3 linked regions of the Saccharomyces cerevisiae S288C genome follow. Changing the gene in region 3 together with the main gene of any one other region gives a genetic interaction. Each region holds a gene or a part of one and is shown on either strand. Other genes may lie near its edges. The genes, in order: SAP1, YNL092W and ATG23.

Region 1 (5,229 bases), on a different chromosome or scaffold from region 3:
AAGTGGTTCTCCTATGGATTGTTTTAGACCCTGGGAACGTCACTGCGGTGTTTTCGCCCGTCATACCAAGATGGGGCGGAGAACGGAAAATTTGATGGCGAATGTACACTGCCAAGGACAAACAGGGACGATAAAGTGTTAAAGTGGTGATATAGTCGGATCCGCGGTTAGCCGTAACCATTGCTTTCCAATGGTTTACGCCTGTAAAAAGAGCAACTTAGATAATTGTCGGCTTCACGTAATTAAGACGTATTAACTCAAAGGAAAAGAAAAGAGGGAATATGGTAAAGGAGACGGAGTATTATGATATTTTGGGCATCAAGCCTGAGGCCACGCCCACTGAAATCAAAAAGGCCTATCGTAGAAAGGCTATGGAAACACATCCGGACAAGCATCCTGATGACCCAGATGCTCAAGCAAAGTTTCAAGCCGTAGGCGAGGCCTACCAAGTCTTAAGTGATCCAGGGCTTCGTTCCAAGTATGACCAGTTTGGTAAGGAGGATGCTGTTCCTCAGCAAGGATTTGAAGATGCTTCTGAATACTTTACAGCAATATTCGGTGGTGATGGCTTCAAAGATTGGATTGGAGAATTTTCTTTGTTCAAAGAGCTAAACGAGGCAACAGAAATGTTTGGAAAGGAAGATGAGGAGGGTACAGCAGCCACTGAAACCGAAAAAGCAGATGAGAGCACTGATGGTGGAATGGTTAAGCATGACACTAATAAAGCTGAATCTTTGAAAAAAGATAAATTATCGAAGGAGCAAAGAGAGAAGCTAATGGAAATGGAGAAAAAAAGACGGGAAGATATGATGAAACAAGTCGACGAGTTGGCAGAAAAACTGAACGAAAAAATCTCTAGGTACTTAATTGCTGTGAAGTCCAATAACTTGGAGGAATTTACGCGAAAACTAGATCAAGAAATCGAGGATTTGAAATTAGAAAGTTTTGGTCTAGAGTTATTGTATTTATTGGCCAGGGTTTACAAGACAAAAGCGAATAATTTTATCATGTCCAAGAAGACTTACGGAATTTCTAAAATATTCACTGGTACACGCGACAATGCTAGATCTGTTAAATCAGCATACAATTTATTGTCTACAGGCTTAGAAGCTCAAAAAGCCATGGAAAAAATGAGTGAAGTCAATACTGACGAACTAGACCAATATGAACGTGCCAAATTTGAGTCCACAATGGCTGGTAAGGCACTTGGTGTCATGTGGGCTATGTCGAAATTTGAACTGGAAAGAAAACTAAAAGACGTTTGCAATAAGATTCTAAACGATAAAAAGGTCCCTTCCAAGGAACGTATTGCAAAGGCAAAAGCAATGCTGTTTATTGCCCACAAGTTTGCCAGTGCTAGAAGGTCACCAGAAGAAGCTGAAGAAGCTAGAGTTTTTGAAGAGCTAATCCTAGGTGAGCAGGAGAAGGAACACAAAAAACATACTGTGGCCAGATAAGCTCAGCAAGTTAATAACGCCTCATGTATATTTTTCATATATAGCGCAATCAATTACAAAGCGAAGAAAAAAAACCCTATGTATTCTAGACATATCACAGGCATACGGGTTTTCTCACACCAACCTTTCAAGTCTTCAGCACTTATGTTTTAACTTATTTTCTATTATTCAGTATATATATGGAATTAACACTGGCAACCCAAGCATCTTAGCCGAGATTCGCGGAGAAAATTGAAATCAAGAATAATAAAAATTCTTGATTCACGGTCATAAGAGGCTGAAGCAACAGCAACCGGCTCCCCAAGAACTACAATACGCGTCCGATATACTTTCTTATCAAATATATTGGTAATAATAAAGGCTGCAGTTCTTTTTTTAATATAGTCTTTTTACATTTATTGCAGCTAACAAACGCAATTTTTCTTTCCCTTTCACTCGTGCGGTTTTACCAGGATTGATTATATCGCACTGTGACACTATGGATTCACAAAGAAGCCATCATATTTTAACGAGATTAACCAAGATACGGAGAAGACCTCAACAACCGTTAACCGACTTTACAGAACTTTACAGTAGAATTGCCAATGAGACAATATATTACTTGAACCTAGAAGAGAAAAAACGATATAAAGAAGCATTGCAAGGATGGAAAGCGCTTACCACTGATGTACTATTCAAACAGACATTGATAGAGCATAACTACCCAAATACTCAATCATACACGAAAGATGAAGTTAGTTTACAGAACGGTATTCGAGAATTGTACCACAAGAGCGTTATGCATTTGAAAAGAGTCAAAAAATTGGTCCGAGAAGAGCCTGCTCCCAGGAATGATATGCCGTCATCCAAAACATACACTAATCATAGCTCATCTTTCACAAGGTCTACTGAACCACCTCCTGTATTCCAAATGGTTCCCGGAAGAATGATGAAAACATTAAGAAATAGAAATGCATGCGGCTATAAAACCGCATACTCCAACCCCTCACTATCATCATATGGTAACAGCACATCGATAAAACGCGGAGAAGATGCGGAGAACATTAGAGTAAATTTTGTACCTTCTAAGCCTTTATCCAACAATGCAAGCAGACAGCACAAGAACCCTATTGAGCACAATGATCCTCCACTTAAGAAGGAAACTGAACTGTACTCAGATAAATATATCTCAGAGCCAATATTGATAGATTTGACTAATGACGAGGATGATCACGATGTCGGCATTTTAAAAGGACACAACGTTTTTGATGAAGAAGAAAGTGATGGTTTCGAGTTTGATGTGTCCGATTACTATGATAATTTCTCCGAAGTCGACGTAGAAGAAGAAGAAGAAGAAAAAGAGGAAAGACGACGTATAAAAACGTTAGAAGCAATTCAACAGCAAATGTCTGACTTGTCTGTTACTTCTTCTACGTCCAGTAATAAGAGTGTAAGTTCTTCAGAAAATGTTCCCGGATCATGCATACAGTCCCTGCCGACTACCGCCCCTGCTCTTCCTTCATTACCTCCACCTCCTTTATTAAATGTCGATAGAGCGTCCAGCACTGGCGCTCTAAAGCCACATAGTTTAGAAACTTCTACTACTATGGATTCATCAAAGATTAGGAATCCTCAAATATCAAAATTAATGAAGAATAATCACGTACCATACTTAAAGGGTACCAAATCAACGCCCACTCTTATCACTAAATCAACGCCAACATTTATTACAAGATCAAAAAGTAATACAAAACCAATCATCAAATCCAATGCATCGTCTCCGACCTCTTCTCTGACTGTTCCAAATTCAGTAATTCAAAAACCCAAAACGGCTGCAATGGCTGCTAAGAGAGTTCTGAACAGCAAAAAGGTTGCGAGTAACCCCGCATTAAACACTACGAAGAAGAGTCACCCCATTTTGAAATCCAAAACGGCGAAAGTCCCAAATTCCAGTTCGAAGAAAACGAGTAGCCATCCTTCCAGACCTGTAAGTAACTCAAAACCATACTCGCATGGTGCATCCCAGAATAAGAAGCCATCGAAAAATCAAACCACGTCTATGAGTAAAACGAATCGAAAAATACCAGCACAAAAAAAAATCGGTTCTCCAAAAATAGAAGATGTTGGAACAGAAGATGCCACTGAACATGCCACTTCCCTAAATGAGCAAAGAGAAGAGCCTGAAATAGACAAGAAAGTCCTGAGGGAGATTTTAGAAGATGAAATTATTGATAGTTTACAAGGTGTAGATAGGCAAGCTGCAAAGCAAATTTTTGCCGAAATCGTAGTGCACGGAGATGAAGTTCATTGGGATGATATTGCTGGTTTAGAAAGTGCAAAATATTCTTTGAAGGAAGCAGTTGTCTATCCGTTTTTGAGACCAGACTTATTCAGGGGGTTACGTGAACCAGTCAGGGGGATGCTCTTATTTGGACCACCAGGTACAGGTAAAACAATGCTAGCGAGAGCTGTAGCTACAGAGTCGCACTCCACCTTTTTCTCTATTAGTGCTTCCAGTTTGACATCTAAATACTTGGGTGAAAGTGAAAAATTAGTGAGGGCACTATTTGCAATTGCCAAAAAATTGTCACCTTCTATAATATTTGTTGATGAAATTGACTCTATCATGGGTAGTAGGAATAACGAAAATGAAAATGAGTCAAGCCGAAGGATAAAGAATGAATTTCTTGTTCAGTGGTCATCCTTGTCCAGCGCAGCGGCTGGTTCAAACAAAAGTAACACTAACAATTCTGACACCAATGGCGACGAAGATGATACAAGGGTACTGGTACTTGCCGCGACAAACTTACCATGGTCTATTGATGAGGCTGCAAGGAGAAGATTTGTGAGAAGACAATATATCCCATTACCAGAGGACCAGACCAGACACGTTCAATTTAAGAAGCTTCTTTCCCATCAAAAGCACACGTTAACCGAATCAGATTTTGATGAACTGGTAAAGATTACTGAGGGCTATTCAGGAAGTGATATAACGTCTTTAGCGAAGGATGCTGCCATGGGCCCACTACGAGATCTGGGTGATAAGTTATTAGAAACAGAGAGGGAGATGATAAGACCCATAGGCCTTGTGGATTTTAAGAACAGTTTAGTGTATATCAAGCCCTCTGTATCCCAGGACGGATTAGTGAAGTACGAAAAGTGGGCTTCACAATTCGGATCATCAGGTTCATGATGATGATAATAATAATAATAATATAATAATAATGGTAATAATAAATAATATTCTAGCCTAGCTGGACAAACTGTGTGCACATAAGCGGATCGATAAAATATGTTCTGCATAATGTCACCTTTTCTTTTTTTTTTTTTTTTTTTTCTTTTTTTTGACTACTTAGTTTGTTAAACAATTTAATATTAGCGTAAACTATTACTAATCTAATCCATGACTGGTCGTAGGTAGTCTTACCCAGACCCTTCTTCTCACCAAGCCATTTTTCGATTTCCACCTAGAGTTATTGAAATTCCAGCTATAACACCATCCTTGATCGTCAATATCGTACTTTTCCTTGTAATCCATCAGTACGAACCACTTTGTCATCTGTGAACTGCTACTGCCTGCAGTGCGTTCAGTACTCAGATCGATAGGATACAGTTCTATGAAGTTCGATATAGTATTTTTCGACAGGGCAATTAACGAGCCATTTTCAGTGTTTAGTCTTTGAAATTGTGGTGGGTCAACGTGAGGCAGTAAAATCTTGGGAGAAAATAGTGGGTAACCAAGTAAAGTTATGCCTCTCTCGTTTTCTATGAGTACGTCCTCCGGTAAAGCAGA
Region 2 (3,739 bases), on a different chromosome or scaffold from region 3:
AATGAAGTGAACAATATCATCGAATTACAACAACGGCCCATGCAAATGACCAAGTCTACCGTACGTACCAGGAGAAGACCACCACCACCTCCCATTCCTTCCACTCAAAAGCCATCGTTGACAGAAGAGCAAACCGAAAGTATAAGAATGTCACGCCGTAATAAAGATGAGAACAATGCTAAAAGAGTTGCCCCACCACCGTTGCCGAACAGACAGTTACCTAACTTAGACGCTAATACTTACTATGTACCATCCTCACAAAATGACTATGGCATGTATGGTGCTTTCATGGATAAAAAAGCAGATGAATGGAAGAGAAGAGTAATGGACTCAATTCAAAAATTGAGCAATCAAGACACCACATTGATGTTCTTTTCGGATCCGGCATTAAGTTTGGAAGACAGTATTCGCAGAATTAGGGAGAAGTATTCAAACTAAATACACTGTTATTTATATACATCGGGAGGGAGTTTAAAAATTGTATACACTAAAGTGACCTTATGAATTGGAGCCATTTTCAACGTTTTAGAGTGATGTTGCATCCTTTTCATCAGATCGGGAAATTAAAAAAACGGTTATAGAAGGGCTAAATGTAAATATGTAAATTTTATGAAGTCAAGAGTAAAGAAAATCTTCGGTTGCCGATCAAATACACTCTTACAAAATACCCTAAACTCAGTTTATCTTTCCATTCCAACTGATTATCGCGTACGCCTTGGTGACCAACCATACCCTAAAATGTCAATTTCCGGGGCGGAAGGGGTCCTTAAACTGCAAAGCCTCTTCCCATGTAAATAAAATAAATCCGTAGAATTTATTAAATATTGTCATATTATAAGTCGGGAAAGGCCTTCTGAATGCACGTATATTGACCAAATAGAGTTAGATTCAAATTATTTATTACATTTTTTCAGCATCGAAGTTAAGTAGAATGGATAAACATACAGCAGCTATTCCAACATTAACTATCAAAGTAGTCTTACTCGGAGAATCTGCTGTCGGGAAGTCCTCAATAGTCCTCAGGTTTGTATCTGACGATTTTAAAGAGAGCAAAGAACCTACTATTGGTGCCGCATTTTTAACAAAGAGAATTACAAGGGATGGCAAGGTCATTAAATTTGAAATATGGGATACGGCAGGCCAGGAGAGATTTGCTCCTTTAGCGCCTATGTACTACAGAAATGCTCAAGCTGCTTTGGTAGTTTTTGATGTTACTAATGAAGGGTCTTTTTATAAGGCTCAAAACTGGGTCGAAGAACTACACGAGAAGGTAGGACATGATATCGTTATTGCCTTGGTGGGGAACAAAATGGATTTGCTGAATAATGATGACGAGAATGAAAATAGGGCTATGAAAGCACCAGCTGTACAAAATCTCTGTGAAAGAGAGAACCTCTTATATTTCGAAGCAAGCGCTAAGACTGGTGAGAATATTTACCAGATATTTCAAACATTAGGCGAAAAAGTACCATGTCCTGAACAAAATACACGACAAAGCTCTACTCATGATCGCACAATTACCGATAATCAACGAATCGATCTCGAATCAACGACTGTAGAAAGTACTAGGGAGACTGGGGGTTGTAACTGCTAAACTGCAAGCAAAACAACAGCAAACGCGGCATATTCAGCGTCTTAGCGAAGCTTGCCATTGAAAAGAACAGTTCGTAACAACAGCTGGAAGAATAGTACTGGAAATTTTCAATTACTTTTGCAAAACAAGCACTTTTTTGTTTCACTTCCATTAGCCGCAAGAAATACACTTTTTTTAGGGGCGGGAATTTTCATCGCCAGATCGAGAATCACAAGGCCTTTACGTACTATAGTTTGTAATTTATACAAAATCAGCTACTGTTATTTTGGTGTACCAGCGGCAAAAATTGGTGAGGATCTGAAAATTAATTAGAGGTGAACACATATCAGTAATTTTGACTATGGACGAGAATGAATTTGATAATCAAAGGGAGAATAAAGCTGTAGCTCGAGTGATCATATCATTTCTTAAGTATGAAGAGTATGCCCTAAAGGAAATCTACAATTTGAGAGTGAAAAAATGGGCATCGATCTCAGATCGTCAAAAAGACATGGTACCAAACTATACAAAATATTTAGCTAATCTGAAAGCCGCAATTATAGAAAATGGCAAGTTCTTTAGAAGTGTCGCCGAATATGCCCTGCAATCAATAAGTTTTGAGCCAGGAGAAATCGTACAACCAAACGATTTAGATATGAGTAAAACATGCTCTTTACTTACGCAAGTTTATAGGGAGTGGTCCGCAGAGGCCATTTCTGAACGTAATTGCTTAAATTCGAGGCTTGTACCGTTTTTGAAGACCCTATCACCCCCAAAAGCCGACATTTTGATACCGGGTTGCGGCACAGGACGCCTTCTCGTGGATCTTAGCAGAATGGGCTATAATTGTGAAGGTAACGAATTTTCATATCACATGCTGCTTGTATCTCAATACATGTTGAATGCAGGATTACTCCAAAACCAAATTATTATCTATCCCTTCATACACTGTTTCTCCCACTGGAAAAAAATTGAAGATCAGTTGTCTCCCATTAAGGTGCCGGACATAGAAGCGTGGTCTTCAAATAAAGGTATGGGGTCCATGTCGATATGTGCTGGCTCGTTTGTTGATTGTTATGGTCGTAATCAAGGCACAAAAATCTCGTCACATTATACATTTTCGCGAAGGATGCAACTAAGTAGAGCAAAAGCTGAAAACTCCAAAGACGTTGTAGTAACAAACTTTTTTATAGATACGGGATCCAACATCTTGGATTATTTGGATACTATTGGCCACGTCTTGAAGCCAGGCGGAATCTGGTGCAATTTCGGCCCATTGCTTTATCATTTTGAAAATGACCATGGGGTTGAAACTACCTACGAAGTTAACCCTTACTCTGGGTTTCAAGATAAAATCAATGACTATACACCACTGATGGGTTTAGAGCTTTCTAGCGATGATATCATAAGCATTGCCACAAATCATCTGGACTTTGAATTAATACGGAGAGAGTCAGGAATACTTTGTGGGTATGGCCGCTACGCGGGTCCAGAAAGTTGCGCCATGCCTGGATACATGTGCCACTATTGGATCCTGAAGTCGAACCCCACCAATGAATCATAAGCTTACACAATAATCTAATTGCACTATATAGAAGTTGCTGACACAGCCGTTTTAGAGAACTCAGAATGTTACCCGCGCGGAAAATTCTTTTTGCTCCCTCTCGCTATGTTCTGTTTACCATATTGACAGTACTGGTTATCAGCCTAGATCCAGTAATACATAAAGCCCTCAATTTGAACTATATATCAAAGCTAGAAGAAGAGTGATTTGTCATAATTGATTCACTTTATAAGCTCCTTTATCGTTTCAGTTTCCAGGTGCATTTATCGCTTAAGGCCATTACTTTCAACAATAAGCAATCTTTATAAGTGAAAAATTGGGGAAATTGCCAAAGATGCCCCCAAACTCCAAGAGTAAGAGAAGAAAGAACAAATCCAAGCAACACAACAAGAAAAATGGCAACTCTGATCCTGAACAAAGTATAAATCCTACACAGCTAGTACCTCGAATGGAGCCAGAGTTGTATCATACAGAATCGGATTACCCAACTTCAAGAGTAATAAAAAGAGCGCCCAATGGCGATGTCATCGTGGAACCAATAAATACAGACGATGATAAGAAAGAACGTACGGCGAACTTGACTCATAATAAGGATAGTATGG
Region 3 (3,651 bases):
CCTTATCAGCATCGATAGTACCGATAGCAGCACCACATAACAGTTGCTTGGTGGTGGCAGATTTAGAAGCCAATGGATAGTTCTGATTTTTCATTAAATCAGTTCTGGAAAGCATAGAAACTAAGTTACCATTGTCGTCAACAATCAATAGCTTACCCTTTTTAATCTTCTTTAAAATTTCATTACCTTCAGACAATGTAATACCTTGTGCACCGGTGACAGGGTTTTTGGTCATAACATCTTGAACAAGCAAAGAGTTGTCTTCAACGAACTGAATATCACGAGAAGTGACGATACCCATCAATTTTCCGTTTCTTTTACCATCTTCTGTAACGGGGAAACCGGAAAATCCAAATCTTTCCTTCATACTCTTAGCTTCACCCACAGTAGTAGTTGGGGAAATCACTATAGGGTTGTTAATAAACCCATTTTCATAGTTCTTGACTCTTCTGACCATGTCAGCTTGGTCCTCTGGGGTACAGTTGTGGTGAATAAAACCGATACCACCCAACAAAGCCATGAAGATGGCCATTTCTGATTCTGTCACGGTGTCCATTGGAGAGGAAACGAATGGGGTGTTCAAAGTGATATTCCTTGTCAACTTAGTTTGTAGGCTAACTTCAGAAGATGGGAAATCAACCAGACCTGGCAAAACCAAAAAGTCGTTATAAGTCAACCCACCTCTGGTCTTGGAGTCCATCAACTCCTGGACAGACAAACCATCTAGTCTTGGTAAGCTCTTGGCGAATTCCAAGGCAGTCTTGTAGTCTCTAACGGCGGCCATTGCTTTTACTACTTTCGGAGTTATTAATTGCACTGATAATATTTACTGCTGTTAACCTGTCGATGACTTCTTTTCCTTAGAATAAAAGTGAGACAGATGAGATGACGTGCTTTTCTGCGAGTTTAGAAAGTCTTTCTAAGTTAAGTTATATAGAAGCAAGAAAGAAAAGAAATAGAGTAAAAAAGAGAAAGTTCCCAGTACACTAGGTGAAAATGCACAAGCCCACGAAACTGGAGTAAACCTCCAAGGGTCCCAACACTCAAAAATCTTGTTGGATCTCGGAAGGGCAAATTATTCAACTATTTATACCTTTCTATTTCTTCTTTTTTTTTTTTTTTTTTTCAGTGAAAAATTTTTCATTTTTCGGAAAAAGAAACGTGTGCGGCTTTGAAGGCTAATATTTATGTAATTAACCAGAGTTAGAAATGAACACAATAGTGGTTAAAGAAGCCACTGGGTCACTGGAAAAAAGTACATCTTGTTAGCCATCAAGTAACAGGTTTATGTATTGGGAATTATGGTTTTTCAAGTTCCCTTGTCTCTTTTTTCCCGATATCCTAGCCCTAGGACAACTTGTAGGGTATCAGCGCATATGTTCAAAAAATTTAAGGGCGTAAGCTCTGGCGTTTAGGTGCGCAATTAACAAAAGGTATAGATAGTCTTTTTATAGTGTAAATCATATACAAATAATAGAACACAGAGAACGTCTGTATATATCTATTGGAGAACCGGCTAAGGAATGGAAAAGTGAAGGATAGAGTACGTTTTAGTTCAAGTGATTATTTTCGTTTTCTTGTTCCACATTTTAACCTCGTTGTTCTATAAGGTAACAAAATAAAGTGAAGAAGTAAATATGGAACTGAATCAGGTTTTAGAAAAAAAGGAGCAGATTCTGCAATACTTAGGCACTCTGGTCGGGCTTCACGAAAAAGCGTTGTCTGATGTAAATTCGGCTTCCCAGGTGACAAGCATCCGGAAGGATATCACTATTTGCTTAAACGATCTATGCAGAATTAATGATCTCTTAGTATCCCATGATGGTCTATTGAAAAGAGAAATTGGGTCCTTACTTCGAGACAAACAAGAGCTACTAGAACTGAACGAAAGAGAGCAGCTTCTTTGGAAAGAGCGGAAGTCGTGGCATATTAAGCAAGAAACCGATGCTGCGCCGGCGGACTATGTTATCGATAAGGACGCCATAATTACCATTTCATCGCACCACCGGACATCACTAAACAAATATATCGAGTCAGTGGGGGCAGAAAATACAATACTATCCAATACGGATGATTCGGATGCAATGATCGAGGAAGTACAGAACGCTGAATCTTCTGCGGATCAAATGATACGTAATTACAAACTGTTACAATTATCTCATAAGCAAGCTAAATCAGAAATAATAAGGCTGGAAACTTTATTAAGAGACTTCAAAAAGGACAATAAATTCATTGAAGAGGAGTTAAAAAGGCAATCTGGACGGATACGTTCCGAAATGGGTAATATTGATTTTCATTTGTCCAAGATAGAGGAATCTAAGCATCAATTAATGAAAAGAATAGGATTCGAGTCGCCCCTGACACAGGAAAAATCACTATCAGAAAAGATATTCAATTTAAGGCTGTCCAGCGCGGATGAAGATTACAATGAGAGACAAACTATCAACATGAAAAATTTTGTTCATATGAAGGATCTCATAGAACTGAAAATTGAAGATCTACAAGAGCAACTAATGAGAAATAAAAATGAGTCTTCTACAGTACTAACGCAACGTGAATTATGGCTAGATTGTCAAAAAAAAGTAGGAGATTTGGAAAGCAAATTAATAACCAAACTTCGGAGCAGCAGCAACTCCAAAATACCTCCAAATGAAATGTCAGAAATGATCAATTCTACAATACAGTACCTAAATAACCTTCTTGACTCTTCTGATGAAAAGCTCACGACAACTTTAATATCAAACGAAAGGGACGTACTTTCGAAAGCTTGTGAAGAACTCCATAGCGAAAGTACCACTGCACAAGATGGGTCAAGCGCACTACCTTCTAAACCAATTGATATACACAAAAGCCATAAAGGGTCGAACGCGAGTTCAAATTTAAAACAGCCCTCGACTCCCTCATTCTTGGTTGCTAGCAAATCGCCACCAAAGATTGGCATTTCTGAAAGTGTAGTAAACGCTAATAAAAATGATGCCATATCAAAAAAAGTTGAATGAAATGCAAATAGCTAGAGTAGCCATGAGGATAATGTAAATTTAAACATTGTATGCCCACGTAATAGTCAAACTCTTTCACGTCAAATTGAAAAAAAATGTTCTTTTTGCTGAAATAATGAAAAATAATGAAAAATAATGTTGCTATTAAATTCAATATAAATGTATACACCAATATATATGCAGGTATAATTCCTAACACTTTTACTTCAAGATCATGATCTAGGCTTTCTTTTTTTTGGGATAAATGGGCTAGATGAAGCATTCCGTCTCGAACTGTTGCGTGTGCCTGTGGGCCCACTACCAGGTCCTTTGAATGCTGAAGATTGTGGTTGCGGATGGGGGTTTAAATCATATGGATCTTCTGCCTCAGCAGGATAGCTGTCTTGCGGATGGGCGGGCAGAGTTTCATGCAGTTCGCCTGTACCCACAGGAGCCGTTGAGTATTGATTCGCATTACCCACATGTTGAGAGAGGGTCCTATTTGCTCCATTCTGTCCATTTTGATTGGGTTCACCGTAATCGGAAGCAGTCAGGATCCTCGAAGAACCACCGGATAAAACACTATTTGAACTTCTGTGTTTTGTAATAGCAGCAGGTACCTGCGTCTGCTTTGCTTGCGAAACTTGTGGATCGTCGTATATACTAGCGCTGA

The links.
Region 1: mutations in ATG23 (region 3) and SAP1 together harm fitness more than expected from each alone (negative genetic interaction), as found in Saccharomyces cerevisiae (one large-scale study listed by BioGRID).
Region 2: mutations in ATG23 (region 3) and YNL092W together harm fitness more than expected from each alone (negative genetic interaction), as found in Saccharomyces cerevisiae (one large-scale study listed by BioGRID).

The regions. Positions count from the first base shown.
Region 1 is NC_001137.3:243,210-248,438, reverse strand, and holds SAP1 (putative AAA family ATPase SAP1), read left to right. Parts: upstream 1-1,935; coding exon 1,936-4,629; downstream 4,630-5,229. Other genes in the region: CAJ1 (Caj1p), read left to right, coding at 282-1,457; SPO73 (Spo73p), read right to left, coding at 4,828-5,229.
Region 2 is NC_001146.8:448,937-452,675, forward strand, and holds YNL092W (S-adenosylmethionine-dependent methyltransferase), read left to right. Parts: upstream 1-1,934; coding exon 1,935-3,137; downstream 3,138-3,739. Other genes in the region: phosphatidate phosphatase APP1, read left to right, coding at 1-438; Rab family GTPase YPT53, read left to right, coding at 932-1,594; NST1 (Nst1p), read left to right, coding at 3,472-3,739.
Region 3 is NC_001144.5:999,690-1,003,340, reverse strand, and holds ATG23 (Atg23p), read left to right. Parts: upstream 1-1,637; coding exon 1,638-2,999; downstream 3,000-3,651. Other genes in the region: IMP dehydrogenase IMD3, read right to left, coding at 1-784; DNA/RNA helicase SEN1, read right to left, coding at 3,212-3,651. UniProt on the Saccharomyces cerevisiae protein: Required for cytoplasm to vacuole transport (Cvt) vesicle formation and efficient autophagy. Plays a role in ATG protein retrieval from the pre-autophagosomal structure (PAS) and is especially required for autophagy-dependent cycling of ATG9.